Pelodiscus sinensis: one gene and its partners. The protein of the gene in region 1 interacts with the protein of each later gene in a pairwise test. Links are inferred from orthologs where the notes say so. Each region holds a gene or a part of one and is shown on either strand. Other genes may lie near its edges.

The links.
Region 2: the proteins of TNIK (region 1) and PAFAH1B1 interact in a two-hybrid assay, tested with the Homo sapiens proteins (2 studies listed by BioGRID and IntAct). The link is inferred for Pelodiscus sinensis from reciprocal best matches to the Homo sapiens genes TNIK and PAFAH1B1.
Region 3: the proteins of TNIK (region 1) and AGTPBP1 interact in a two-hybrid assay, tested with the Homo sapiens proteins (2 studies listed by BioGRID and IntAct). The link is inferred for Pelodiscus sinensis from reciprocal best matches to the Homo sapiens genes TNIK and AGTPBP1.
Region 4: the proteins of TNIK (region 1) and ACTG1 interact in a two-hybrid assay, tested with the Homo sapiens proteins (2 studies listed by BioGRID and IntAct). The link is inferred for Pelodiscus sinensis from reciprocal best matches to the Homo sapiens genes TNIK and ACTG1.

What each region holds. Positions count from the first base shown.
Region 1 is NC_134720.1:39,647,678-39,655,327, reverse strand, and holds the start of TNIK (TRAF2 and NCK-interacting protein kinase), read left to right. Parts: upstream 1-4,638; 5' UTR 4,639-5,058; coding exon 5,059-5,115; intron 5,116-7,650. UniProt on the Homo sapiens protein: Serine/threonine kinase that acts as an essential activator of the Wnt signaling pathway. Recruited to promoters of Wnt target genes and required to activate their expression. May act by phosphorylating TCF4/TCF7L2.
Region 2 is NC_134731.1:11,786,695-11,794,518, forward strand, and holds the start of PAFAH1B1 (platelet-activating factor acetylhydrolase IB subunit beta), read left to right. Parts: upstream 1-4,817; 5' UTR 4,818-5,122; intron 5,123-5,614; exon of another isoform or gene 5,615-5,635; intron 5,636-7,824. UniProt on the Homo sapiens protein: Regulatory subunit (beta subunit) of the cytosolic type I platelet-activating factor (PAF) acetylhydrolase (PAF-AH (I)), an enzyme that catalyzes the hydrolyze of the acetyl group at the sn-2 position of PAF and its analogs and participates in PAF inactivation.
Region 3 is NC_134716.1:41,579,132-41,586,905, reverse strand, and holds the start of AGTPBP1 (cytosolic carboxypeptidase 1), read left to right. Parts: upstream 1-4,773; 5' UTR 4,774-4,995; coding exon 4,996-5,069; intron 5,070-7,774. UniProt on the Homo sapiens protein: Metallocarboxypeptidase that mediates protein deglutamylation of tubulin and non-tubulin target proteins.
Region 4 is NC_134730.1:27,479,063-27,486,231, forward strand, and holds the start of ACTG1 (actin, cytoplasmic 2), read left to right. Parts: upstream 1-4,155; 5' UTR 4,156-4,297; intron 4,298-5,008; 5' UTR 5,009-5,021; coding exon 5,022-5,144; intron 5,145-5,249; coding exon 5,250-5,489; intron 5,490-5,781; coding exon 5,782-6,220; intron 6,221-6,373; coding exon 6,374-6,555; intron 6,556-6,657; coding exon 6,658-6,801; 3' UTR 6,802-7,169. UniProt on the Homo sapiens protein: Actins are highly conserved proteins that are involved in various types of cell motility and are ubiquitously expressed in all eukaryotic cells.

The DNA of each region.
Region 1 (7,650 bases):
GGGAATTTTGCCTTTGATTTCCATGTGGCCAGGATTTCATTCATAGCCCATATGCTATGTGCTACCCCATGATGCTCTCCATTGCAAATCTGAATGGAGATCTTGCACAGTGTGAAGTCTACAGGGCTTTGAGGAACCTGGAGCAGGATGCCACAATCATACCCCACGGTTCCCGTTCCTAAGGCCTAACTGTGACTTCTAATGTCTACTCCTCTTCCAAGCAATATCAGCTGACGTACACAACTCCTGAGGAAGCAAGGTCCATTTCCTCAAGAGAGAGGCTAAGACAACAAGAGTGAAGTTCCCTTGCGATGTCCCATGGCACTTCTTAATGTGTGTAGTGGCTTGCATCATGTTGCATGATGCCATGCCCTGTTTTGGAGTGACTCAAGGATGCAGGTAAGGCTTGCACAGAGAGTGTGCTGCAATCACTCATTATTGGTGTGGTTGCCATCTGTTCTCTTAAACAATAGCGATGGCCATAAATAATAAACCACAGGCAACGTGTCACTGCTGTGATTGTGAAGTACCCAGAGTGTTCCTCATTGCTTTGCATCTCTCCTGTGGCAACTCCCATCAGCACGAAAAGCGTCAATCGCCTGATGTACCAATTACAATGCATTTGGGAAGATCAATAGATGCAGGATGGACACAAGTAGCCATTAATTTCTGAGTATCTTGTAACACAGCTGTGGCAGGAATCACATTAGCTTGAAATCCAATTATTATCCATTTAATAGAGTATTAATATTTAAACACTCTTTATTGTGTTTAGGCAATGCCCTTTTACTAGTGCATTTCATGTAAAAATGTTGGCCTAGCTCCTCAGATGGTGTAAATCAACCTAGTACTGTACCATGGAAGTCAATGTGGCAATGCCAATTTACACCAACTGAAGATGTGATCTAATAGTCATGGAATTTTTGGAAACCAGTGACTCAGCTGAATCTTCCTTCTAGTAATCAAATATATCAGTGGATGGGTCATTGTCAATCTATTATATCAGTCCCTCTTTTTCTTTGCAAAGGCTGTGCAATCCTTTTGGAACTGATACAAAGCCTATTGAATTCAACTGGAATCTTATTAAAGAAATGTACCTCTTTAACACGCTATTTTATATCTTAAATAATTATTTAACTTAAATCATTATTTTTATATTTCAAATCATTTTTGTAACTTAAATCATCTGTCCTATAGTTGGACAAAACTTTTAATTTTTTTTTTACAGAACGAAATATTCAGAACTTTTTCAATCTAGAAATGACAAAACATTTTGTTTCCCAATTTTCTAGTGAAACAAATTATTTTGCTAGTTCTTGAAACAGAAATGTTTAATTTTGGTTATTGAATTAATCCTAAATACTGCATTTCAAATCAGCTCATTATATTAAACTGAAATTCTGTATTGTAGTGCATTGCTTTATGGGAACTGTAGTTCAGGACCCTGAACCCCCATTCTCCACTAAGGACCATGCTTCTTGTCTGTACTACAACAACTATATATCTACAGTTATGACATTTACATATACCAGGTATCTTGGTGAGATGGAACTCCACCTTGTATCACTGGAGATGTAATCCACTAGTGAGCCCAGCCAAAAAGATAGAATGGAGGCCCAAACTAACAGCTCCTATGAGACAATGCCACACAGTAGAAAAATTCTGTTTAATACTGAATTGATTAAAAATGATGAGTTTCTGGTCAGTTCAACAAAATGAAATATTCTGATTCAAGTGAAGCTAATACCAAATTAAATATTTAATTTCAATTTTTCTGATGGAGTATCACAAATTGCCAACAAAACTGAAATTTTTCCATGGAAAATTGTGATCTTGCAGAAATTGCATTTTCCATTAAAAAATAAATTGGTTCAGATGGCCGCTTCCTAGCTATCATAAGTTTCTGCAATCTGGATTCCATGTCCACTGCCACCAAGCCTTTGTACATAGCACAGTTATAATAATTTTGAAGTCGTAAAGTGACCACAGATTTGGATATTATAAACACACACAAATAGTAAAGTAATTCTTTGTGCAGAACATCCTATCAGCAGATGTTCATTATGACCAGAGCCACAATTTGCACACTGAAGTGCATTGAAGAAATTGGAATTTTCACTATACTATAAACTATCATAATTTCGCTTATTTATTCGGTTGTTGATATAAATTGGCTCTCTATATTTACATCTTCAAAGACAAATTACTGTATAGGCCTCAATTCTGAAAGTCACTCTGCCAACATCACAACATCATATTGTGGCAGGTGTCCATGCTAACATGCCTGCTTGAAGGTTTAATCTCTATACATGTAAAAAAATAAATGTCATGAACTGTTTCATAAATTACACCTTATTTTCTCTAAATGGAAAGAATATTAAACATACATTTTTCTCTTTTCCTTTCTCTCATCTAGAACAATGAAAACAGTAGCACTCTTTTCATTTTTGTTTGTTATTGGCTTCTAGCCAATTTCGCTTTCAGGTTCTCATGTGTTAGTGCAACATTGCAATGTATAGGTTACAACCAATAAAAACAACACTAGGTTTAAAAGACAATTCCATTGTTGAAAAAGAATGAGAGAATCATGGCAATAATTTGATTGTTCCATGATATTGTAAAAGCCTTTCTCCCCTTACTTTAAGATTTGAGTTAAATTAGATCCTTTTAATGTCAGCAGAGATTAATCTTTTTGCAACATGTGATTTATTTATTCTTGTATTGGAAACCTTGATCGTTTGCATCACTGCACCACTAAACAGGCTTGTGAACATTATACTTCTGTATATTTCAGTTACCTGAGACATTTGGCAGTTCAATTATACAAATTATATTTTGCTTTGCACTCGAAATTTTCTAGGAAAAAATGCTCTAACGACCAGCACTGGTTGATGACGCTGTTGCTCCATTTCTCTGCATGTATCAGGAACTCTGTGATCAGTGTTATTAATGATAAGAAGACTGATTCAGTTCTAGAGCTCTGAACTTCCTTCCCTGCAGGGTATTCACTCTGTAGACAGCACAGTGACCGTGAACAGAGGGGACAAAGTGGGGTGGGGCTGCCCCTGGATCTGCAACTGGGTTATGATAGCCTATTGCTGATAGGGAAATTTCACTCAGTAGGCTTTGTTTTGCTAGGCTAACCTACTGACTAGCTCTGCTTCCCAAATTACTCCTGGTAATATGTGTGTGCTGCGTCTCAGACTACAAAGCCCTTGACACACTAGCTGCAGGCAACAAGCCTTTCTGTCAATTGCATGATTGTTTGCACTAAAATGTAGTGCAAAGAGCATCTTAATCCATAAAGCACAATTAATAGCCAACTGCTGTCCTGCACACACATTATTGTGTGGTTGTGTTGCCACTTCACGGACCTGCATTTTGTAATATTCCCGCACAAACCTGTGAAGTTTGACAGTCTCCCCAGTGCATCTTCTATAATATTCTTCCTTGAGGCAACAAATACAAGGAATGTACCAGGTTTGGGGGGTGGTAGAGAATAACAAATAAGGAAACAAATAAAAGCTGGATCTTCCTAGATTCTGCTAGTTTCTACTGATTTTTGTCCCCAAACCCAAAATTATACACTACATCTAGTCTAGCTGCTCTTATCGAATAAAACAAAAAATCTAGTCACAGGCACATCTCAGAGCTAGAGCACTGCTATCCTCCCCCATCTTGTATCTTGCATTGGCTCAAATCCATTTTTAGGCCTCAACTCCATGTTGAATGGCATAGACAGAGAGTAAGTGTAGTCACTCTCTCTATACCTAACAATTTCAGACTCTAAGTCATCATGAAAACATGGAGTGCTACAAAAATCTGGATTCAAGCCTCTGTGTCTTGGCAATTTTTGGCTCCAGCCCCCAAATTGTACAAACTTAATATGCAGAAAGTGGCTTCACCTGCACCAGAAGGTGTGAATGCTGAATTCTTATGATAAAGGAGTGGTATCATGTTAGTCTGTTAATGGTATAATTAGAGGGTTTGGGGCCAAAAATGGAAGAAACCAGCGGATAAATATTTGTGATGCTTTTTGGAAGAAATGGCTCTGAATTTTTACTATGGAATGTGGGGAGCTATTGTTCTCGATATGGCTTGTGGTGGGATTCTTGGATTTAGGATTTAAACAGAACTATCTGAATCTAGCAGGACCAAGTGCCCTATGCACATTTTTGCAGATCTGTTTCATCAGTTTGCAACAAAGCTGGGATGTGGGGGGGGGACCACATTTTTATTTCTCTACTTACACAATAAAACTTGGGGATATAGCATGTAAAATTGGCTGAATGCAACAGTACTCAGATACTATGCATTTCTCCCCCCCCCCAGTGTTATTGGGCTGGGTTATATCAGGGTCCAGATTTTGCTCTTAAAGCAGGAACAGCTACACTGTTTTTCAATTTAGATGCATGTGTGTGTTTGTGGGAGTGTGTGTGTGTTTTTTTTCTTTTGAAGTGACAGCCTTTATTTTGATGGTCCAATTTCAGGGTTATAAGTCCAGAAATCGGCAGGGTCCAGCTCCAGGCAGTTTTTACCTTTCCTTTCCCAGCAGGATAGTGCAAACACACATGGCATGGAAATGCTGCCTCTCTCCTGAGGAAAGGCAACACCCACTTCGTGACACTCACTCCTCCCAGGAAGCCGTGATAGACACTTTGTGGCTCTCTCTCCATCCGACTGGAGGAGTTGATGTGTCTCATTATAACAGCAGCCAATGCAGCCGCCATCCAGAGAAAAGCAAAAAGCATGTCCTATTTAAATACACCCACTCCCCAGCATCGCCCTTAAGCTTTGCACTGGCCTCGCCCTCCCTACCTAAAGGATTGCAAGCAGAGGAAGACTTGCCCAGGCACTGTTTGCTGGGGGATTTTTTGTTTTGCAGTGGGGCTTTATTTTTTGGTTGTGTCGTGTTTTTCCTCGGTGTGCAGTGGGGGTGTCTCCCATCCCCACCCCCGCATGAGGAGAGGAGTGAAATAGACCCAGGTGGGGATCCAGCCAGAAGAGCGCAGCGGTTACTTTCTATCTTTGGTCAATTTCTCCGGCAAAGAAGTAAACATGGCGAGTGATTCTCCGGCTCGGAGCCTGGATGAGATAGATCTTTCAGCCCTGAGGGTGAGCAAAACAACCCTACCCCCAATTCCCTTTCCCTGCGCCCGCCCGGCTCTGACCCCGCGCGCTTTATGGCTTTGCGTGGAGATAAGTTTGCCATTGTATGCAAGCGGGTTGCAGGGGGGGGGGGGGAGTTTCTTCGGCTTTGCCAGTGTGATTCGGCTGCAGCTATGGGTGCGCGTGCGTGTGTGTGAGAGCAGCAGTGTGTGTATGTGTGTGAGAGAGCAACACTGTGTGAGACAGAGCAGCAGTGTGTGTGTGTGTGTGTGTGTGTGAGATGCTTTCTGAAGATCCAAGGAGGGGAACCAAAATCTGCCTCGCTACAACCTGTCACTCCCCCGCTTCCCTTCCCCCGCGCTGGAGAACCAGCCCGCTGTGAGCTGCTTGTCTGTAGCGCCCACGACATAGTCTGTTGCCCCCCAGCGCTGTGTGTGCTCGGCACGTAGCTGCCGAGGGGGGTGGGATGCAGATCCCGAGCCGGCTTTTGGTGTCCGTGGGGCAATGTGGGGCCAAGTCCGGGCTTGTTGCACAGCAGATGTGTCATATCCCCCGTTGCTGGGCGGCCAGCATCTGTGCACGCGAGAGTGTGTGTGTGTGTGTGTGTGTGTGTGTGTCTCCCTCTGACATGCTTTCTGCTCGCTCTCCGCTGTGTGGGCTGGCTGTCTCTGCGGGTGGGTTCCACCTGGAAGTGTGACATTTCAGGCAGGTGCCGGAGACACTGGCTTTAATCCCCCCTTCCCCCCACACAGACGCTGGCTTTAATTTACACACACACAGACGAGATGCTGGGCTTTAATTTACACGCGCGCGCCGAGGATGTGGCTTCGCTTCCCTTTGCCCTCCGCTGTGCTGATTCTTACAGCAGCCGTTACCCTACTGATCCGCATGCTCTTGCCTGGGGCCTGCCTCCGCCGCTGCCTCTCCCTTGGATGGAGCAAGGGGGTGATAGAGTCCATCTTGCAGATAGTGTTGTGAAATTCGAACATAATGAGCCCTTAATGATTTCCCTCCTCGCCTCCCTGGCCCTCAGGGGATGGGATGCACCTCGCCTTGACATTCTCATCAGGCACCGGCTTGTCTTAGGGAGCTTGATTAAATACATGCTTATTAGTGCTTGTACACACCGTGTGTGTATTTATATTTGCACCGCTCACCAATGGAACTGAATCGATGTGGGGGGTGGGATTTGGGGCCTGGAGGGTCACACCTTGTGGCACAGTGCATTGTTAAACACAGAGGCTAAACCCTGTGCTTTTTTTGTGTCTTCATCTGTTTGCATTAGCTATCCTGCCCCCACCTTTTTAAAGCGAAAGCTCTTATTTGAATTTCAAATGTACCATTAGATGTCTAGTTTACCAAATATGGCAGCCATCACTTTCTTTGTGATCTGACTTGTCCCCTCTCCTGTAACTCTTTTATTCCATCCTTTTGGCCCTGAGAATATATTACTGATTTCATCTATTGGTTAGTGAAAGGAGTAGTACCTAACATGGACATGGGTGCTGAAATTCCTGTCTGAAAGCTCATGCCTGTTTTATTACAGCAAGAGTGCTGGCACTGACTTTAAAAAAAAATGTGAAAGAAAAATAAAATTAAAGGTGGCATCCGCTAAAGAACTTTTCAGAGTGTAGTTGTAGAAATATTATTTGCTTCAGTGGAAATAAGATTCCTGTCTAATTCATTCACCCCACATTCCTACTGGTGAGTTTCTGGCTGAATAATGGTGTAAATGATTGCTCAGCAGTTCAAGGCATAGACAAGATTGGAAAATTAGGACCATATATTTTAAAAATAAATATTTACGTCCAATTCACCTCACTCCTGCTGAGGACTATCAGGAGAAATGTTATTGACCTTAATGCCAGTGTAAAGCAAATGCAATTTGAGAGATGAATGAACCTGGCATAACTGTGTTTTGTTAAGGAAGCTCAGCAGTTTAGTGTTCTTATAACACTTAAGAATTTCCTTAGTATTAAGGTCCTGACTGTTTAAAATTATGTTGTCATATTTTTGTTTGTGTGAGTGTGTGGGCGGGGGGTTCAATGGCAGAACTTGGGCAGGATATATTTTGCCCAAAACAATTGATACTCTTAGCCTCTCAGCAGTATTTTGTTTGCATTTTAAAAACATAATTCCACAAATGGAGATATGAAATCCTCTGCTGAAACTGCATTTATCACGACTCCTGATATGCACACTTTCCATGGCATTGTGCTTCTGTCCTCTAAAACCCAGCCTCCATTAATTTAGTCGGCTACAGGATCTGTTGGCTTGAGTTAATGGTCGATCTGCCTCAACAGTATCAAAATGTTGAGTTCTCTTTATGCTGCCACTTTGAACCCCTGAAGGATGACTGATGTCAGTGTTGACTGGTGGGGAAGGAGGGTGTAGGAAAAACAAAGGCTACCCTGTGAATTTTCACATACCAGAGTGAAGATAATCTGTCCAGATAGCCCAGATTTAAGAAACGTGTTAGAAAAAAGATTTGTATCTAGCGCATCAGATAAATTATTCAAGAACAGTTAATCTATATGAACA
Region 2 (7,824 bases), on another chromosome or scaffold:
CACCTACCTACTTCACAGCGCATAGTGAAACTTGACTAGTTTTTGTAAAGGGCTTTGAGATGTTTGGCTCAGAAATGTTATTTTTGTTATTACTGAAAGAGACAAGGTAGATGAAGTAATATCTTTTATTGAACCAACTTCTACCACAGCCCCTCCCCTTCCACTTGAGGCCCTAGCCCCTTCCTGGAACATGGAACTGCCCCCCACACACACCTTCCCAAAGACCTATGGAGGCTGTAGGCACCCCTTAGTATTCTTCAGACCTGGAGAAGGTAATTAGAATGGACATGCTAAATGCAAGGTGTGCCAGATTGTCTGCCAACAGGTAATATATTACCTCACCTATCTTGTCTCTCTCATATCCTGGGACTAACATGGCTACAATAAGACCACAGACAAGTTTTATTACTTTCTCATATTCCTCTAAGATAGGAGGAGAGTATCTGGGAAGATGAGCCAAGATCTATCCAATCCCTAGATCCCAGATCTAAATTAGGGAAGGGCCATGGATGATGTGCATGCTTCTTTCAGATCTAGTGACACTGGGTCCTGCAGGAAAGCTCATGTGTTAAATGTACTGCTGATTCAGTGGCAGATTTCACACAAACCACAATTAACATACCATGCCAATCCATCTCCTTGTGTTGCAACCAAACGTGATACCCAACAGAAAGGTACAGCAATGACTTAGCTCTAGGGTTTTTTTCCACCTCAGAGCAGCTACCTCCAATGAACCTGACGTTCTTGTTCCTAACAAGTGAAGCTGCTGCTATTACCACTCCTGGGTTTCTATCACTACTACTTTTTCCATGTTTCTTCCCATTGAGGCTACGTCTACACTGCAAGGTTTTTGCGCAAAAACCTGCGGAGCATCCACACATGAAATGTGCTTTTGCGCAAGTAAACCAGCAGTAAAATAGCAGATCAGAGGGCTTTTGCTGGTGTAGGTAAACCTTCTTCTACGAGGCAAATCTCCCTTTTGTGCTATAGCTATTGCACAAAAAAGCAAGTGTGGAAGCTCCTGAGGGAAAAAGCACAGGTGCTCTGAGGCCATGAATGGCCATCAGCTTTCTTGCGCAAGAGCGTCAATGCAGTGTGGACGCTCTCTGGTGCAAAAGCACATTGCTTTTGCAATACGCTTTGAGGTGTGGACGTGCTCTTGTACAAGAAGTTTATTGCGCAAAAACTATTGTACAACAGGCTTCTTGCGCAAGAAGCCTGCAGTGTGGACGTAGCCTTAGTGTATGTTTCAAATTATTTCTCTTCATATGTACAAGCAATTTTTACTATTTGAGGTGTATTTTCCATGCTGGATCTAATTATGTTACTTTCTTCCTATATTCAGGTGTCCCCTTTTTATTATTTGTCTCTTCACAATTATGTGCAGCTCTTCTTAGTTTAGCATCATTTGCAATATTGAAATTATTTTAACTACATGTTCCAGATCACCAATAAAAGGTTAATGAAAATAACATTGAACCTCAAACTGATCCCTGCAATACCCCCACCGGAACTCTTCCCACAACTTAAGACAATGGCATTAGCATTATCTGGTGTTTACTGGAAAACTTAAAAAACAACAAATAGTCTAGTAGCACTTTAAAGACTAACAAAACATGTAGACGGCATCATGAGCGTTCATGGGCACAACCCACTTCTTCATCTGTTGTTTTTTTAAGTTTTTCCTGTTACAGACTAACTTGGCTACACCTCTGAAGCTTGTGTTTCTTGTCCTTAAACCAGTATTCAGGCCACAGGGTTTATATTCAACCCAATTTGAATACATTTTTTCTAATAAGATTTTGTGAGTTTGCCGGATTTTCTGTCCCTTGGGAAGTTTATATGAGTGCACATGCCAACCTCCATGACACCTTGACTTCAGGGCTATGTCTAGACTGGCATGATCTTCCGCAAATGCTTTTAATGGAAAAGTTTTTCCGTTAAAAGCAGTTGCGGAAAAGAGCGTCTAGATTGGCACGGACGCTTTTCCGCAAAAGCACTTTTTGCGGAAAAGTGTCCATGCCAATCTAGGCGCGGTTTTGCGCAAGAAAGCCCCGATCGCCATTTTCGCCATCGGGGCTTTTTTGCGCAAAACAATACCGCGTTGTCTACACTGGCCCACTTGCGCAAAAGCATTTGCACAAGAGGGCTTTTGCCTGAACGGGAGCAGCATAGTATTTCCGCAAGAACACTGACAATCTTACATGAGATCGTCAGTGTTCTTGCAGAAATTCAAGCGGCCAGTGTAGACAGCTGGCAATTTTTTCTGCAGCCTAGGATTATAAGGATTTTGACCTATAAAGTTCAAAAGATCTAGGTGTTTCCTACCTGAGATACGGCTTCTTTTTACATGCCATAGTGTTGCAGTTGAGATCAGTGAAGGCATCTGAGCTGGAGTCTCTCAATACTGTACAAAAAGGAAGGATCTGCTGGCAGGGCAACCTCCAGGGCTTTCATCTTTGGAATGCACTCCCTTTTTTGGTCCAAAATAGCATCACTCTGTTGCTTTTCCAGGCACACTGTAAAGCCCTTATCTTTGAGTGGGTCTTTGGCAGAGCTGAGCCTGACTATGAGAAAAGGAAGGTTTTAATCTGCAATATGCACACACACAAATTATTATTATATAGTGACCCATGTTCTTTTCTGAGCTTTGTAATTATTTTCAGGTGGTATTTATAATTATTGTCAAGGGTGCTAAGAGTTTCAGCTAGTTTATGTTGAATTTCAATCCAAATAGGTAAGTAAACATAAAGCAATGCATGGGCCCATAGCTGTCTGCAAATGTATCTAGTTATACCTGAATACACACAGGGATTTTGTACATACATCTCTGGCAATCTACTTGAAAATATGCACTTAACTAGAGACTGGAGAGCAGTCAATTTCTGGTATGTGGAGATCCTGTTGAGAGTCAGCATGGCAGGGAACAATCATGTGGAACTTAGCAAGATAGGTTTTGTCAGTGCAAGAGGACTATCTTTTTTGTGGCATTCCGTGGGGCTGGAGGTTAGACATACTGAGAAATGGAGGGCAGGAATGCAGGATGATTGGAAGGAGGCTTGTGGGTCTATGCATGAAGGTGTTTGGGGCTGGTACACGCTGCAGATAGGGAGTGTAGGACTGGCATGGTGGGGCTGAGAGGCGGATGCTGAAGGATGGGGTGTGCGGGATATTGGAGGATGGGGTGTGTGGGGCTGGGAGTGGGAAATGCTGGAGGACGTGGTGCTGGCAGAGAGGATATACTGGGGTAGAGGGAGGTTTGAAGTGTGGGATGGGCTGTGGGCCAGGGAGTAGAGGATTGGGGATAGTTTGCTGGGGAATGGGGGGTGTGGAGCTGGAAGTGGGGGATACTGGAGAATGTGGGGACTGGGGTGGTGGGACTGGGAATGGATTTGCATTGGGATGGAGTGTGTGGGGCTGAGAGTGGGGAAGGATGGGGTGTGTAGGTCTGGGAGTGGAGAACACTGGAAGATGCAGTGTATGGGGCAGGGGAAATGGGGGACACTGGAGTCTGGGATAAAAGGGGCTGGGAGTGGGGGTTAGGGTGTGTGGGGATAGGAGTGTGGGGCTGCTGGGAGATGTGGTGAATGGACTGGCAGAGAGGACGTACTGAGATAGCAGAAGGGCGGAGGGCTAGAAGTGGGCGATAGGGTGTGTATGGCTGGGAGTGAGGGACAATGGAGGATAAGATGTGGGGCTGGGAGTGGGGGACGCTGGAGGATAAAGAGTGGGGCTGGCGGTGGGGACGTTGGAGGATAAAGGGTGGGGCTGGCAGTGGGGGATGTTGGAGGAGAAGGGGTGGGGCTAGCAGTGGGGACACTGGAAGAGAAGGGGTGGGGCTGGCAATGGGGATGCTGGAAGATAAGGGGTGGGATCGGCAGTAGGGGAACTGGAGGATAAGTTACAGTGGGGGACGTCTAGGTTGGATATTAGGAAAAACTATTTCACTAGGAGGATGGTGAAGCACTGGAATGGGTTCCCTAGGGAGGTGGTGGAATCTCCATCCCTAGAGGTTTTTAAGTCCCATCTTGACAAAGCCCTGGCTGGGTTGATTTAGTTGAGATTGGTCCTGCCTTGGGCAGGGGGCTGGACTCGATGACCTCTTGAGGTCTCTTCCAGCCCTGGGATTCTATGATAAGGAGTGGGGCTGGCAGTGGGGGGTGCTGGGGAGAAGGGGTGCAGCTGGCAGTGGGGGAGGGAGAAGGGGTGCGGCTGGCGGTGAGGGGGGGGAAGAGGCAGGGCTGGCAGTGGGGGCACTAAGGAGAAGGGGTGCGGCTGGCAGCAGGAGTGCTGGGGAGAATGAGTGGGGCTGGCAGCCAGGGAAGGGGGCGAAGGGGTGGGGCAGTGGGAGGGTAGATGGGGTGGGGCTGGCAATGGGGGGGCGAAGGGGTGGGGCTGGCAGCGGGGGGGGGTGAAGGGGTGGGGCTGGCAGCCGGGGGGGGGGTTAAGGGGTGGGGCTGGCAATGGGGGGGCGAAGGGGTGGGGCTGGCAGCCGGGGGGTGTGAAGGGGTGGGGCTGGCAGCCGGGGGGGTGTGAAGGGGTGGGGCTGGCAATGGGGGGGCGAAGGGGTGGGGCTGGCAGCGGGGGGGGGGTGAAGGGGTGGGGCTGGCAGCCGGGGGGGGTTAAGGGGTGGGGCTGGCAGCCGGGGGAAGGGGCGCTGGCAGCGGGAAGATGGGGGTGGGGTTGGGGAGCGTGGAAGAGGCCAGGGGGCGATATTAGGACTTGAGGTGGGAGATGCTCCCAGGGGCCGCCCGCGGTGCATGCCGGGAGAGGCAGGGCGCGGTGCACGCCGGGACGCGAGCCTCCGCTTTAGCTTCCCAAGATGGTCTCTAGGCTCCTGTCCCCGCCCTCCCTCCTGCACATGCGCAGTGGGTGCGGCGGGCCGAGCTGCTCCCTCCCTCCCTCCCTCCTGGCGGCCGGGGCGCTACTGACAGAGCGAGGAGGAGCCGGCGCGGCGGCGGCGAGAGCGGGTCGGAGCCTGCCGAGACCCCCCCCCCTCTCCTCCCCGCACCCCCACCGGCCCCTGGAGCGCCACCCCCATCCACGCCACAGGGCCCCGCGCCGGTGCATGGGAGCGACGGGCGGCGCCGGCCTCAGGGAGCGAAGAGAAGCGGCGGCGCGGGTAAGGCCGGGCCCGCGAGGGAGCCCCCGTCCGCCCGCCCGCCGCGGGGTCCTCCCACGACCCAGCCGGCAGCGGCGGGGTGAGCGAGGCCCTGCGGTCCGTGCGCCTCCCTCCCCCCCCGTCCCCTCCCTCCTTCTCTCCAGCTCGGCTCTCAAAATGGCCGCCGCGCCCGTTGGTGGTGAGGAGGGAGGAGGGGGGGCAGGGCGAAGGGGGAGCGCCCATCCCCCCTCTCCGCAGCGCTGGGGGGCGATGGGGGGGGGCAGCTCCCCCCTCCCCGGGGTCTCAGCGCCCTCCGGGGGATTGAACAGGCGGGCAGGGCGGGGTGGGCCCAGGCCAGGGGGTGGGGGAGCGATGTGCCCCTTCTGGGTGGGCTCCAGCCCCCTCTCATTGGGGTGTCTTCTCCCCTCCCCGGCCTCTAGTCCTTCGCCCTGATGACTTAGCAAGCAGCCGGCGAGGAGACGACGGACCTGATGGGCCGGACAGGAGACTGGCAGTTAAAAAAAATCCCAGAGGGTGAGGAGGGTGGCGTGTGTGTGTGTCATGTGAAAGGGTCCTAACTCCCCTCTTACCCCCCGAAAATCCTTAGAGGATCTAGGTCTGTTTCTCCTCCTTGTTCCCTTTGAGATTCGGGAGGAGATGGCCCGGATCTTCAGAATCAGCTGCGGCACTAACAACAAAACCAGGGTTGCTAATAGGAGAGGGCTAGCCTTTCTTTATTTTGAATCCGTTTCCCACCCGCCCTTATCTCCCTGCAGTGATTCAGTAAGTGGGGGGAGGAGAACATTGTTAGGAGGTGGGTCAGACCTTCAGAATCAGCTGCTGCAGAAATGGGGGAGGGAGATCTAACCTCTCTCCTTTTGGGGTGTGTGTGTCAAACCCATGCCTAGTACTTGGCATTCAAATGTTTTTTTAAGGACAAAAATAGGTGGCTGGGAGAGAGGATGGAGATCTAAGTAGGAATGTTTCTTGCGGCTGATGGGCAGGATGGAGTTTATAGTCAAACAGATTTTGGGGGCGGGGGGGGGGGAATGTAGGGGGGAAGGAGGTTGGCCGTGATGTCTTTTACCTTCATATAAAGTTGGTATGGCTCAGTTTTGTGGGTGTGAAATTTGTGTGGAGGGTGAAGGAGATAGCATACTTGGCCTTTGATACAACAATAATGTGCTTTTCCATAGTAGCTGTGGTAAAATTTCTCTGCTGATAATGCTGCAGTAGGGCTTGGTTGTTGCAGGTCAAATCAATTCATAATGAATTACCTAACCAGGATGGTGGTAGGTTACTGAAGCTATATTAAAAGCCTTCATTGAACGGTTTGACTGCAAAATAATCGTAGGTGATGTGTTTAGGTTTATTAATCTGATTCAATAATCAGTGAGGTGTGTGGGGGTTCTTCAGGGTGCTTATGGCAAAATGTTACTTGTACATCTTAGTTTCATGAGGTAAGGAGAATAATCTTGTGTTCACGATTTATCATTTATGAAACGATTGTGCAGCATTCAAACTGGCAGTCAGAAGAGGGAGGGTCTCCTACCAAAATGTATCATTTGCCTTTAAAGTGGCTCTGGAAAACAGGAAAATATCTTGAGGAGCTAAACAAAGAAAATATATATTAAGCAAAAGGTTTTGTTGTCGATATCTAGTTTGTTTTCAGGGCTATTGTTTTTGTGTGTTCTTTTGATTTGACCATGTTTATGGATGCTGCGTGCAGCCATTGAGCAGAGAAGAGACTGGGTGGAGTAAGGAGGCAGAAGCTGCGAAATGGCTAGATTACCCTTTCATAGCATTTTTTTTCTTTGCTTGCGTTTTGCTGGGGTGGGGGAATGCTAATTGCTGTAACAATGAAGTCTCTTCTTTAGGGAAGAGTCAGTGGTGCAGCAACCTTCTGAAATGAAACGTATCTAGTATTCTGTTTTGTGGTTTATTTTTCTGCAGGGTGGATATTGATTTGTCTGGCAGTAAAAAGTGACCAGTCACTGTTGCAAAGCAAGGATTATTGTCTGATTATCGTTTTCATATGTTGACTTTGATTTTTTCCGTTGTTGACTTAATTTCATTTCAGTATAAATCTGAAGATTATTATAATATTTAAGGGAGATTGTTTATGCAGAAGGTGAACCTAAATAATTCTGAATTAATATTGTGGTTCGGTGCTCTGTTCATTCATGTAACTCGATGGATTCCCTACACTCTCCTGTGCCCTAGCAGGGTAATTTTATGAACTGTAGGGAATGCAGGACTTAAAGATGGGTGGTGCAGTTATGTGAAGTGATATATGTAAGGATTTTTAAGCTTTTGTAGAAAGGTATTGCTTTGTATAGCATTCTCATACTAAAATCTTCTGCATCATGGGTTATATAGGTGCTAGAAGAAGCTTTAGAACAAAGAGATTTGGGGAACACCAGAAGGATCAACTGGTAGACATCTAGGAAGGGCTTCTGCTTCTTTCTAAAAATACTCTCCTAATGAGGGGTAGCAGTGTTACCACCCAAATCTAGGCAACCATAGAGAGTATAACATTGAACTTAGGGTGTGATTCTCTGATAAGCTGTCTGAACCATTGTGTAGTTGCTCTTATCTGTTTATTTGGGGTTTAGTCTGTACTTGCCTAATACCAAAGATCAAACTATATCTGGTGTTGTGTTAATTTGACAAATATCTATATAAGGCAGTTGTAAATCAAACGACTTTTAAAAATTAAAGTG
Region 3 (7,774 bases), on another chromosome or scaffold:
CAGAAGGAATTTCCTTTCCCAGAAAAGTGGAGGGGAGCTATTTATACCTCACTGTTTATATTGATCTTGTAAACTTTCCCAACACTTACAGCTGCTTCTGGGGGTGGGGTGGGGTGGGGGGTGGGGTGTGTGTGTGTGTGGGGGGGGGGGGTGTTGGGGGGGAGGGAGAAGGGAGACTCCCTTTCTTCTCCTGGTTTTAGTACTCTCCTTGCTCCTGAAGCAGCAGTACTCTCCTTGCTTCTGAAGCATCTTATTTTGATCTACGCATTTTTGATATGGCAGGGGACAGAAAGGCTGAACTAAGCCTGCTAAAGATTACTTTATACCCGTCTCCTGTTCTTCAGCAACTAATTGCATAACAAAACTAATTGCCTGTTATGCTTGAGTGGCAATGGTAATAACAAGTTCTTGTAAACTTGAGGGCTAGTACTGTACCTCATTTCTCACCCACAAAATGTAAGCAGATAAGTGTGTTTGAGTCTTGAATGTATGTGAGTCTTGAATGTTTGTCTTGTACTTCAGTGCTTTATAACTCATGGCCTTGCACAGAAATCTTTGTATTATAGGGAATCTCATTCACATTCCATCTGACAAAATCACGATGATTGAGCAACTAAGGACCATAAACAGTGGCACCATATAAGATGGAGGGTATGTCTACACTTGCACTCTCTTTCGAGAGAGGGATGCAAATGAAGACATTTGAAATTGCAAATGAAGCTGGGATTTAAATATCCTGCGCTTCATTTGCATATACGTGTTATGTCGCCATTTCGAAATAACAGATGCTTTTAAGATGCGGTTATTTTGAGAGAAAACCTTTCTCTCGAAATAACTGTAAACCTCATTGTATGAGGAATAAGGGTTATTTTTGAGAGAAGAGTTTTCTCTTGAAATAACCGCATCTTAACAGCGTTTGTTATTTCGAAATAGAGCAATTTTGAAATAGCGACGACATGTGAATATGCAAATGAAGCACGGGATATTTAAATCCCGGCTTCATTTGCAATTTCAAATGTCTTTATTTGCATCCCTTTCTCGAAAGAGGGTGCAAGTGCAGACATACCTAGACACTCTGAGGACACTATGTACTTAAAATGTTCCCATCCTTTTAAGTATTAGTATGTTGTGGTTTCTGTAGAAAATATTTTTTCGGTCCTTCTTAAAGAAGAGGACCAAAATTCTGTTTCTGACTGTGCATCTAGGTTTCTGGTCTCAAAATTAAGACCATGGTGTGGCCATCAACAAAAGTAGGTATGCTATGAGAAACACATAAAATTTGGGGAAAAAATTGAGTTTTGGCTCCAGGAGAAGCTTTTTTTAAGAGGGTAGATTTCTTCTCTGGAAATGTTGTGTAAGTTGTTAGCGATACATGCGCTATGATGATTACTGATTTTTTTCCAATATTATATAAAAGCCTGTATTCCCTGAGATTTAGTATGATTAAACAGTAACTTAGTACTTCACTGCGTGTTTGCTTTTTTTCAGTAGTATGTTAATTTTGCTCCTTTTCTTAGGCCCTATATGTTGAATTGGGAACAAGAATTACTTTTTTTTTCATTCAGAGTAACAAGTACACTTTAGAAAATCACTTGTTTTTAAAACTTGAGTGCAGAGAGTATGATGGAAGCACTTAATTGTACAGTAAAACAACCTATTGCTAACAAGTCTTAATTTTTTTTGAAATGTCTTACAGATTATATGAGATGGTTAATTGAAGAACTAAGTTTTCCAAGATGAACAAAGTAAAAACAACATCTGAGAAAAGGTAAATGCAGAAGTTTATAGAGTTCTTGATGATCATTCTATTTATTTTTCCACGTAATGTATCATAAACTTTACATTTTAAGTATTGAATTTAAAAAAAGCTAAACATTCAAAACAAATTATGGGTCCATAAGGCAACAGTAGTAATACATTATTGTAACCTTTTCACACAAATATAGCTTTAACATTATTCTCCTTTAAACAGTAATTGGTTTAGAATTATTTTTCTTTTACATAGTCATCAGCACAGTATAAAAGATAATAGATGCTAACGCCTTCCTATATTCACTAGTGCTCCATTTAGATGAGACTTACCTTACAAATTAACACTTTCAAAATTACATTTAATTTCTTTGAAAGAAGTAGTAATAAATTACCCCAAGACTACCTATTTTAGAACAAGGTCATATGCAAAAATTCACATGAAGTTGTTTACCTTTGTGCATATGGTTATCCCAATCATACATTCAGAAATAGTCATTTGGACACCCTGTTGATTGAAATTCAACAGTAGTATAACTGAGCTTGCAATAGCTTTTCTTTACTTGCGTGTGGATATTTAAGCATATCTCTGGGCTTTCATCTCAAAACTTGTCTTGAGTAGGGTACGTCAACACTGCGGTGCTATTTCAGGATACTTTCGGTATCCTCAAAGAGCACATGCCATGTCTTGAAAGCATGCCCGTTATTTCGAAAGCTATTTTGAAGTAATAGGTGTGCTGTTCCAACGTCCCTGTAAAACTCAGTCCTTGAGGATTAAGGGACGTTTTGTAATAGCACTCGCTTTCAAATTTTGGTACCGTGCTGACCGCGCCAAATAACAAAATAAGCTATTTTGAAACACACTCGAAATAAGCTAGCAGTTTGTGTAGCTTCTTTTGAGCTATGGGCACAGTGTAGATCCACACTAGCAGTCCTTCAAAGCACTGCATAACATTATAGATAGGAACAGAAGCACTTACTTCAGTGGGTCCATACGTGTATACATACAGATATGTGCTCGTGATTTACTATATTCTGAGCTAAGGGGCTGATTACCCTTCTAATTTATGTATACTTGCATCATCATCAAGCGAGTATAAATATCTGTCTATCTGCAATAGCACAGGTAGCCTCAGACACAGCTGAGTGTGCATAGTATATACCTACTGATTTCAGGCAGGTTTGTACTTGGCACAGCTTAGTCTCTGCTGGTGCTATTGTTGGATCCAGGCTATACTGCTAGTTATACTTGTGCTAGCTCATTGAGGGCTAATATGAATGTGTATATGAGTAGGGGAATACCATCTTTAGGTTGTAGTGGAAAGGTAGCCTAAGTAGTGCCAAAATCATAGCTTTGACTTGTTTAGTTTTTTGTTTATACCAAGCACCTATCTAGAGGTATCTGGGCACAGGGGTAGCAGCAGGGAAACCAAATATGCAGGCAGTTGAGTATACTCCAAAATTAAACGTATTAACTTTTCTCCAAGCACTTCAAAAACAAAATCCCTACCTATTCACCCCATCCTTTTTTGGCAAAACCTTTCTCAGATCGCAGTTTGTTGGGAACATTTTGTGCTTATGATTGGCTGATGTAAAGGAATAAAATATAATTTTATAAATCATGAGAAATGCAAACTTACACATTCCTTTACCAAAATATGCATTTCCTGCTCTGAAAATCTTGCCAATCTAATATAAAGGCAAGGGTATCAAAGTCATAATGTTGAGGGGTGTGTGTGTCCAATTCTTGAAAAGCTTGTGTATAAGGAACAGTTTCATAATGATGACACTAATTTAGAGAATTCATGCATTGTCTTCTGAATGGAAGAAAATACTACATTTGTAATAGTTCAGTTTGGAATGCACTGCAATAGCAAAACCATCTAGAAATTCTGGAAAACTTTCAACCCCTAGAAAATATGCAGGATATTTTACCTTTTAATGTGTTTTTCTACAGTATTGCTTTTTATAATAGAGTAAATTGCATATGCTATCATGGATTTCTTAATCTCAGGAAGGATTTGAAGTTTATAATGAGGATATGTTACTTCCAGTTTGGGTAGCTGTCCACTGCTGCTAGGGAACAGGTCAACATTTGAGACTAATGCTTGTGATGGTCCCTGCTTGGGCAGTTAATGAACATTCCTAAAGACCAGTCTTTCAAAAGATAAACATGGATTCCAACCAGGGAGTATTAATTTTTTTGTGAAAGTCAAGCCATCTTTCAGCAATGATTGTACCATAAAAAAGGTATCTATTGTAATTGTATTCAACTCAGGATATGTTGACCTTTTGCATGGAAGGATAATACTAAGCTGATGTGGACAAAAATAGCAATTTGTTTTATTTTGTAATAGTTTGTTCAGATTATCTCTAATGATGAGTAAACTGTGAAATACTTTGCATATCATAGACAGTTGGCATTATTGAGCTGCATGCCTGCTGCAGTCATTAAAGGGAACACTGTTCATAATCCTATAATTTTACCCGCCATTGAGCAAAATGAATTATGTTGCACCAATATGGAGGTGACGTGCAACATATCACCCTCGTATTGGTGCATATAACAAAATTCATGTGGTGGAGGTGGGGCCAAGGGATTCTGAGTGTGGGAAGGGGGCTCAGGCTTGGGACAGAGGGTTGGGGTGCAAGGGATCTCTCGGGGGGAGGTAGGTGAAGTTCTGGGCTGGGCGGTATCGGCTGGGGCGGAGGTTGGGTGTGAGTGGGCTTGGAGTCAAGCCACAGCAGGGAGGCTTTAGGGCCAGGGGGCTCACCGGAGGATGTCTGAAGCTGCCCTAGCTGTGGCGGGGGAGGATCTGGGCTACTCTGACCATGGTGTGGGGGGTGCTTTGGGAAGGGGGTGGTCGGGGCTGGGTGGTGGTTGACTTTGGATTAGGGGAGCAACTGTGGCGGAGGGCGCTCTCTGGGACCAGGTTATGTTTGCCTTTGGGCTGAGGAGGACACCTGGTTCAGGCTGCCCCTCCCCTAGCTGCTAGGCAGAGTGTGGCGAAGTTCTCTCATTCACTGTAGGATAGGGTATCTCTCACCATTCTAAGATGACATCTAATGGTTGCTATAGTAACGCCTAAGGATTCAATTATCTTTCTGGTCAAGCTCTAGAATTAGGCCATTGAGTGAAACTGATGAAGGGGTAGGTTGCATGTACCTTGCAGGGTAGCAGAAGCTCTCTACAGGAGGAGTAATGGATATGTGTCAACTCACCATTCCTACAGAAATACAGTGAAGATGCTTAGACCTTTTGGAAAGTGGGAAGGACTTGACAAATCCACTTCCCAATGGCAAGGAGAGACCTTTCCCTGGTGAGTGGGGAGAACTACAACATAAATGTCTATAGTATTCAGTCTTTCTTTGAAAAGAGAATCTGTTTATTCCTGAGATTCCCTTCCAGATATGAACCAATGCTTTGTTCTCTCTTTGACTCTTCACACAGTTCTATGGCTTTTATAGCTGCAAGCTTTCCCAAGCTGTTGCAGAGTGAAATGGACAAGACTGGCCAGTAAAACATCCCACAGGGAATGGTATCGGTGAGGATGACCAGTTAGTCCACTTCATTGAACTGCAGCTTGGTGGGGTGTGGAAAGCTATAAGCTGAAGCGCAGTCAGTCAGTGGCACTATCTGCAGGGGGAAAAAGATAACTCTTCTCCTCCTCCCTCCCACCGCACATAGCAGCCCTGCTTTGCAACAGTTAGTATCTAGGGGTACATATAGACTACAAGCCTCTTTCAAAAGAGAGTGTCTAGACTGCAACCAACCACTTCTTTCGAAAAAGCAAGTCGCTTTTTTGAAAGAGCACCCAGGCAGTCTGGATGCTCTCTTTCGAAAAAGCCCTGTTTACATTCAGTAACGCCTTTTTTCGAAAGAGCATTTTCAAGAAAAGGCGTTATTCCTTGTAAAATGAGGTTTTCCGCAGTAAAAAAAAACCTGCTGCATTCTTTTGATATAATTTTGAAAGAATGCAGCAGTAGTCTAGACACAGGTGAAGTTTTTTCGAAAAAAGGCCACTTTAAAAAAAAAACAAAAAACCCTGTAGTCTAGTCTAGGACACTATCCCTCACTAAAGCCTTCTAGCAGTAGTAAGAGAGGGGGAAAATGTGCCTTCCACTCCCTGTTAGTTATCAGAAGGATTCTAAAGTGAGAGAAAATTGACAGATGTTTGGAGACCCCCAGACATGGTACAGGAGCAGTATCTTTTGCTTTCCCAGGAGTTTTGAGGCTTCCAAACAGTGCTTTCCTGTGGAGCTTTCTAATGGCAGTATCTCATGTCTGTCTTCTCAGCTTCTTGTAATTTTTCTGACTATAGGTAAACCTACGAGGACAAGATTGTCTAAGACAAAGTTAGTGCTAAGTGTGAAAGTAGGGGAAAGATAATTTATTGCATGGTTACTTTAAGCAGCTACGTGTGAATCATGTACAGCCTGCAGTTGACTCTTTTTTCCTGTTTGAGGTGTGTGTGTGTGTGTGTATATATATATATATACCAACATTTTAGGGGTTTGTAACTGTTCTTGTGGAGTCTTAGATTTAGATAGCAGATAAGTAATCTACATTGGACTCTCCTTAGTTCGGTGTGTGTGTGTGTGTGTGTTAGTTAACTGGCTAAGGAGGAGGTTCATGGAGTTGAACTATACCTTTAAAATTATAAACTGAATGAGAATAGGTGATTGAAAACAAAACTCTAATCCTTATTACTGATTATTTTTTGGGGGCGGGGGGTATAATCTTGGTTCTAATTTTTTTCTCTCTTGACTCGCTTTTCTCTACAGCGGTTAACTTTCTAAGATTGAACTATCATACTCAAAATGAAATATACAACAGATAGAATAGAAAGCATCAGATGTTTATCACAAACTTCATTTTCAGAATTCAGTTTTTCAGTTACCTATTTAATAGAGGATATTGGGCCTTAGATTTCCCACCCCTGAACTAAATCATTCCAATCAAGACTCTTAATGAGTTGAGTGAGAAAAGTTTACAATAAATTGAATGCTTTTCATGATTTGATTGTGGTTGCTCCTGCAGGTATAGTGCTTGCAGTGTTCATGTGGTGTAAAACCTATCAGGATAACTGCAGGACTGTTGTTACTCCAACTGTTTCCTTCTGGGCTCTCTGTCCTGTATGAGAGAAGACAGGATTGTTGGAGAGGCTTTGTTAAGGACATCATTTCAGATTAGGTTGTGACTTTTGGGGGGGGGGAAGAGAGGGGACAGGGAGGGAACCTTTTAATCATTGTTTCATGGGCTACTTAGGGTTTTTTGCATACAACTTAAAAGCTAAGTGACAGGAGTGCTGTATCTAATTTCTGTTTGTTTGTTTTTTTAAAAAGAGAGAATTAAACAAATATTATGCCCACGCACCTCTAACAATATTATTTTCTGGCCTCTTGTGTTAAGGGACATTGGTTAGGATTAAAATTTAAATGCATATTCTTTATCAACTCTTGAATACAACAAATGAAAGAACTGTAGAAATATCTAAATGATTTTGTATCACTTCTGTGCACTTCACTAAGCGTGGAGTTTCTAGAAGTTAAGTGACTTACATTCTGCAAGGTCAAGGTCCTGTGAGTTTATACTGCACCTGCCTGGGGCTCTGAGGGCTACAATAATAACTGACCTTAAACAGGAGTGAAACTAACACTTTAAAGTTTCACAGTATTGCCAATCCCAAATGTTCAAAAATCATGTATCTATCTCCCCCAAAATCATGAGAGAGGCTCCTTATTTCAAAGCCAATGTAAAAATATAGGTTTGCTGTTCTCTTTATCCTTTGCTTTTTGTGCATTTAGGGTGCACTGAGGCCACATTTTGGATCTTTCTCCACAACCATGAAGGCTAGAAACTTCATTTTTCTTTAAGAATGACGGCAGAAATAATCACCTTCAGTTGGCTCCAGGAGTTGGGGCTTTAAGGAAAACAATCATGAGACTCATGACAAAATCATGAGTTGACAACACTGCTTTTACTTCTGTTCTAAAGGCAAATTATTTTTCTTTCCTGCCTGCA
Region 4 (7,169 bases), on another chromosome or scaffold:
TGTGTGAAGAAACTCAGGGGTGTCTGAGGGGACCCAGGCACCTCCCCCCTAAGTTTTGCTGCTATTTTTGTTTTTCGGCCTTGGTAAGTTGATTTTTTTTCGCTCAATGAGTTTTGCTGCTATTGGGGGGGGGGGGGGCGTGAGGGTTTCTCAAAAATCAGAAAGGGGGCGTGATGCTGAAAAGTTTGGGAACCACTGCTCTAGGCCAATCAGAACCCACCCCACTGCCCTATGGCTACTTGCTTCATAGCTCCGGCCCGGGAGGGAGAAAGCAAAGCAGCGAGAGAAACCTTTGACCGGTGCTCGGGGGCGCTGTGTCTGATGCCTGGCAGCTGGTGATACCCTGCGGGCGGCAGCCTTGATGCCCGTTTGCCCCCCGAGCGCTCCGGCAGAAGGGAGGGTGCTCCAGGCAGCCATTCGGGGCAGGCTGGCATTGTTCTTCGTATGTGCTGGGGTCTCGTCCCCACTCGGACGGGCAGAAGGCGTGGCGGTCCCCGGGGGGTACTGTGCCTGGTGTATTTCGAGGGGGTCTACAGGCTGATGTGGGTCGGGGGCACGGGTCAGACGGGTTATCTGAGATGAGTGTTCTGCCCCCGCTCTCGTCACCTGGAGCCCAGGGCTGCCCTACCCAGGATCTGAGTCTGATAGGGAGTTACTCATCCGCGCTGACGAGTGGGGATTGGCGGAGCTGGCAATCGGCTTCCTAGTTTGGACAAGAGGAAGAGAAACAAGTTACTGTCCGGGGGAGGAGGCGCGTCACGGGCACCTACAGCAGGGCTGGCTGGTTAGCCACCTCTGGATGGAGCCCGTGGGGATGGGAAGCGCCCAGCAGTTAACCTGTCGGGTGCCAATCTTGCTTGTGTGCCACAGGGATTTGCAGGCCATCCAGACCCTTGTCTGCAGAGCGGGTTTGCCAGGCCATTGCGCCGGGCCGGGAGAACAAAGAACAGCAGGCGTGGCCCCCCCTCCCGCCCTCTCACCCCAAAGGCCTGGCTGGTTTCCATCAGCACCTCTAGAGCACGGCTATAAAAGCCTTTTAGTGCCGAGGGGATGAATAATGGCTGTTTCCTCTGGTGATTAACCCACCCCCCGCCAGGCCAGGGCCGGCAGTGATGGAAGATGACGTGTTTTTCCCAGAGGCGCTGGAGGTGTCCTGGGCTGGAAGGGGAAAGGCAAAGAGGACCGCCAGCCCACCGCCACCTGGCTATTCATCGCTAATATTAGGAACCCCCCCCCATTGTAAAGAACTCGTCCACATAGTAACTTCCAATCCCACCCCACCTACATGCCACATGCCAGGAAATTCTCTGAGCTCCACCCCCTCTGATTTTTTTTTTTTTTAGAGATGAGCTGATCTGGTGTCCACTCCTGTGTATTTCATTCCTCCAGCTAATCCAGGGGTGTGTTGCTTCGTTTGTGTACACTGGCCTGCCAGAACCAAGCTCACCTTTCCTGCTTCCAAGGTAATGGTGGAGTTTGTTTATGTAGCACCCACATGTGCTCAGGGCTTTACATGACAAAGCCCTTTCTCCAAAAGGGTGGAGTCTCCCTGACAATGAAGATGGGGCTACAAAGATAGTGGCCTGCTCTCCAGAGGAGCCTTTTCCATCACTCCGAGCAGAGACTACACAACAACCTGAGTTGTATTCTGCACGCTGCGCTGCACACAATCATTGTCACACAACAGCCCTCCAGGCAGGGCCTACTCACGGTTCCAGTGGTAACTAGATGTCAGGGGTCCAGCCCTGCTAACTGGCTTGTTGTGACCTTGGAACAACCACTTCACCGTTCTCTGCCTCCATTTACCCACCTGTAAAATGGAGCTGAAGCTAGCTACTCCCTCAGCTGCTAGGCAGGAGAGTCCAGCAATGAGCCTCATCCAGCCTTTTGTTCCAATCAAGTCCTGCTGTCCATTCATTTGCATCATACAGCCAGATTTCAATCGACAATTAGTGATTATCTCCCCAGCCTGACTGACCTAGATTCCTGGGCAACAAAGATGCAGATCCCAACCTACTGGGCTAACCTCTTCCCACCCATACAGGTATGCTGAGAGTTGACAAACACATCCAAGTCACTTTGTACCCCGGTGTAGAACAGGGATGCTCTTTTCGGGGCCTGCTGTGTCATGCTTCACCCCAGAGATGGCTGCATTTCACTGCTGCTGTTTGCATACTCAGTACAACTGTACCTAGAAAATCACGTTTACCCGAAATCCCTGTTCCATGTCCCCTTGTTTTTAATTACATTCACTATTTCCCCCTTTGTCCATATTCATGCAGCTCCCATAATCCCCTAGCTGAGGACCCACTGCACTCTACAAGAGGGCTGGGCACTGAATAAACCTGAGTCACTTGGGGTTTGCTTTTTCTTGCAACTGTGATGCAGGAGGTATTATGTCCCCAGCAATGGCTCCCTGAGGCACCAGAAGAGCCCATGAAAACAACCACAAATGCAAACATTTCTTAGCTTGTTTGGAAACCCCTCTGAAGATGGCAATCGCGATTAAAAACAAATGCAAACCCGGGCAACCCACAGCTAGAGATGCCCGCCCGTCACTGTAAGGTGCCGTTGAAGCCCTAGCAGGAAAGAGGCTGTAAGATTTAAACCATCAAGTTGCAGGCCTTGATTGCAGGGCACTGGTGAGCATGCAGCCCAGGTAGCTCCCCAGGGGCGGCGGGGTGGCGCTGGGCACAAGGTGGCAGAGGCACTGCTAGAGCGAGAAGAGGGATTGGACGATGGGGTTACTGCTGCGGCTCATTAGGATGAAGGTGCGTGGCAGGGTCTGAATGCAACTGGTTAGCAGCTGAGACACAATTACAATACGCTGTGCCTGGGACACGCCATACCATGTCTGGGGGATGCGCTGCCAGTGCCTCTGGGACATGGGGGCACCCCTCCTGGCATGGGGCAGTGATATGTGATATATTTGAGTCAAACACTGCATGACCCAGGGGTGGCAGCAGGGCACAGCACAGGATGCAGGGGTGCCGTTGCGGAGTCTGGGGGTGCAGAGCATGGGTATACCAGGGAATGCAGAGCATGAGGGGGCACAGTGCAGGGCCTGGGGGTGCAGAGCATGAGATCCTGGGTTGCCAGTGGGTGCAGAGCGCAAGGGCTGGAGGTGTCAGGAGGCACAGGGTGTGGGGGCAATATTGGGGCACACAGCGCAGGGGATGTGGGGGGGATACTGGGGGGCACAGTGCAGGGTCCAGAGGGAGGGGGGCTGGTCCAACTGGGGGGGCTCCCGGGGGCTGGCTCAGGGCAGGGCCTGGGGGATATTGGGGGGCTCCCGGGGGCCGGCTCAGGGCAGGCTCGGGGGGATATTGGGGGGCTCCCAGGGGCCGGCTCAGGGCAGGCTCAGGGGGATATTGGGGGGCTCCCAGGGGCCGGCTCAGGGCAGGCTCAGGGGGATATTGGGGGGCTCCCAGGGGCCGGCTCAGGGCAGGCTCAGGGGGATATTGGGGGGCTCCCAGGGGCCGGCTCAGGGCAGGCTCGGGGGGATATTGGGGGGCTCCCAGGGGCCGGCTCAGGGCAGGCTCGGGGGGATATTGGGGGGCTCCCAGGGGCCGGCTCAGGGCAGGCTCGGGGGGATATTGGGGGGCTCCCGGGGGCAGGCTCGGGGCAGGCTCGGGGGGATATTGGGGGGCTCCCAGGGGCCGGCTCAGGGCAGGCTCGGGGGGATATTGGGGGGCTCCCGGGGGCAGGCTCGGGGCAGGCTCGGGGGGATATTGGGGGGCTCCCAGGGGCCGGCTCAGGGCAGGCTCAGGGGGATATTGGGGGGCTCCCGGGGGCAGGCTCGGGGCAGGCTCAGGGGGATATTGGGGGGCTCCCAGGGGCCGGCTCAGGGCAGGCTCGGGGGGATATTGGGGGGCTCCCGGGGGCCGGCTCAGGGGATATTGGGGGGCTCCCTGGGGCCGGCTCGGGGGGGTATCGGGGGGCTCCCTGGGGCCGGCTCGGGGGGGTATCGGGGGGCTCCCGGGGGCCGGGTCTCCCCGCTCCCGCTACTGGCCCAGGCCGCGCCCCCTTCTCCATGCAGGCTGCGGAGCGCGCTGAGCAAGGGAGGGGCGGGGCCAGGCCATCCAGCCGCCCCACGTGGCCTGGGCCGCGCCAGCCAATGGCCGCGCGTGTTTCGGAAAGATCTCCATATATGGCTATGTTCTCGGCCGGCGAGGCGGGGCCGGCGCCCCCGGGTATAAAAGGGCGGGGCTGCGCGCACCACGGTCTCACTCAGCCGGCGGCAGCGGACCCAGCAGCCTCGCGTCCCGCAGCACCGAGCGGAGCCTCCTGCCCACAGGTACTGCCCGGGCCGCGGGGCCTGGCGCCCGCCTGCGCCGCCCCCCTTCGCCAACCGCAGGCCGCGGCGGCGCGCCCCGGGCTCCTTCCCGGCGGGCCGGCTGGGGCGCGCGCCGCCCCCCCCTTTGGGGGTTCGCGGTGGTACCGCCCGGCCGGCCGTTTGAATGGCGCGAGGCCGTGGCCGTGTGCGGGCTCTGGCCAGGTAGGGGCTGTGATTGGTCCCCCTGGCGGGTGACGTAATAGAGCGGGAGGTTTGTTTGAATGGAGAGGGGTGGGGCTGCTTGTCGCTCTCCGCGGGCAGAGGGGCGGGGCTGTAGGCTAGCCCGTTGCTCCGGCAACAGGCCCCTGGCGCAGCGGGCGGGCGGGGGGAGAGGACCTGGCTGCGCCTCGCGCCCTGCCCGGGGCTGTAGGCGGCTGAGCGCGTGCTGCGGGCTGGGGGCAGGGCTGCCCTCGCTGCCATGGGGGGTGGCGCCTTTGCAAGCTGGGCGGGGCAGGCACGTCTGGCTCCAGCTGCTGGGATCCTGCAGGGCCAGGCCTGGGTGCAGTTAGTGACCCCCTGCAGGTGGGGGCCCCCCCGGCCTTGGCTTGCACCTGCAGGTGGCCCCCCCCCCCCCCCCCCCCCCCCCCCGGCCTTGGCTTGCAGCACAGACCGAGCTCTCCTGGCTCAGCCTGTGCTGGACCCGCCCTTGACCAAGGTCTCTCCCCTCTGCAGCAAGATCTCCACCATGGAAGAAGAAATTGCAGCGCTCGTCATCGACAATGGCTCTGGCATGTGCAAAGCTGGCTTTGCAGGAGATGATGCCCCTCGAGCCGTGTTCCCCTCCATTGTTGGGCGCCCGAGACACCAGGTGAGCAGCCAGCCACGTACCCGTGAAGTGAGAGTGGCCAGGTGTAATATTGCTGGGGGTTATGAAAAGGGGCCTTGACACTTACGGCCTGCCTTGTTTTTAAAGGGTGTCATGGTTGGCATGGGGCAGAAGGACAGCTATGTAGGCGATGAGGCCCAGAGCAAGAGAGGTATCCTGACTCTCAAGTACCCCATCGAGCACGGCATTGTCACCAACTGGGATGACATGGAGAAAATCTGGCATCACACTTTCTACAATGAGCTTCGTGTAGCACCTGAAGAACACCCTGTTCTGCTGACAGAAGCTCCCCTGAATCCCAAGGCCAACAGAGAGAAGATGACACAGGTACACTTGCTGCAGTAGTCTGTGATCTGCCTTCCTCCCTGTTTCACAAACCATCTCTTTCGTTATGGATCTCTTTTAAAACTCAAGTGTTCTTTCAATATTTTCAGGGCTCTGTACACCTCCTGGCATTTCCTTCCTGAAGTCTCAGGTTTCTTTTTTTGTTTTCTTTCTGCCTGCGTTCTTTGCTTTTCCTTTCCCAGCACATCAGTTTTTGCATGCAAGCATGTTTTCAAAGATTGGCTTGAGGCGAGGTTTTCGTACTACCTGTAGTAAAACAGAACTTTCTTTGCAGATCATGTTCGAAACCTTCAACACCCCAGCCATGTATGTTGCTATCCAGGCAGTGTTGTCCCTGTACGCCTCTGGTCGTACCACTGGTATTGTTATGGACTCTGGTGATGGTGTTACCCATACTGTGCCCATCTACGAGGGGTATGCTTTACCCCATGCCATCCTGCGTCTGGACTTGGCTGGCCGAGACCTGACAGACTACCTCATGAAGATCCTGACAGAAAGAGGCTACAGCTTCACCACCACAGCTGAAAGGGAAATTGTGCGTGACATCAAGGAAAAGCTGTGCTACGTTGCCCTGGATTTTGAACAGGAGATGGCTACTGCTGCTTCATCATCCTCCCTGGAGAAAAGCTATGAGTTGCCTGATGGTCAGGTGATCACCATTGGCAATGAGAGGTTCAGGTGTCCAGAGGCCCTCTTCCAGCCATCCTTCCTGGGTAAGTATCTACCAAACCGTCATCTGTGCTGGAACACAACAAGCCATGAGAATCGCTGGACTGCCAAGTGCTAGCTTTGCAGTGCTGACTGCAATCTAAAGCTGGTTAGGGGAGGGGTTGGGTAACTGAAGTCTGATCACTTCTGTCTCTTAGGTATGGAATCCTGTGGCATTCATGAAACCACTTTCAACTCCATCATGAAGTGTGATGTAGATATTCGAAAGGACCTGTATGCCAACACAGTATTGTCTGGGGGAACCACAATGTACCCTGGGATTGCTGACAGAATGCAGAAGGAAATCACAGCTCTGGCACCCAGTACGATGAAAATTAAGGTAAATGGCTCTCCTCTTTCCAAAGAGCTACTGAGTCATAGGAGGAGGCTGCCTTTCCAGATATTCTTGACCACTGACTAACTGCTTCTCCTGTCTTTCTAGATTATTGCTCCACCTGAGCGTAAATACTCCGTTTGGATTGGTGGCTCCATCTTGGCGTCTCTCTCTACCTTCCAGCAGATGTGGATCAGCAAGCAGGAATACGATGAGTCTGGCCCATCCATCGTCCACCGTAAATGCTTCTAAATGGACTTTTCACTAGTATACATTTGCCTGGGCAAATTTATACACTTCATGCTAGCCTCATAAAACTGGAATAAGCCTTTTTTCAAAAACTTGCCCTTGGGAAAGTCTGTAAGACAAATGTCAGTGACTCGAAGTTGCTGATTTGACCCTGTATTCAAGTTAACTGTTCCCCTGGTACATTTCAGCACCTACCCTGTATGTATCTGACCAAACCTTGGTACAGGTGGCATCACTCATGTGGCATAAATGCTAGGGTTAGCTTGTATTGGTAGAAGAATGTTCAAGTATCTCACTATGGGCTAGTGACTCCTGGTAATTCTAGGGTTTGAGCCTAGATTTGTACAGGGTATTTGTCAGACTTCCAATAC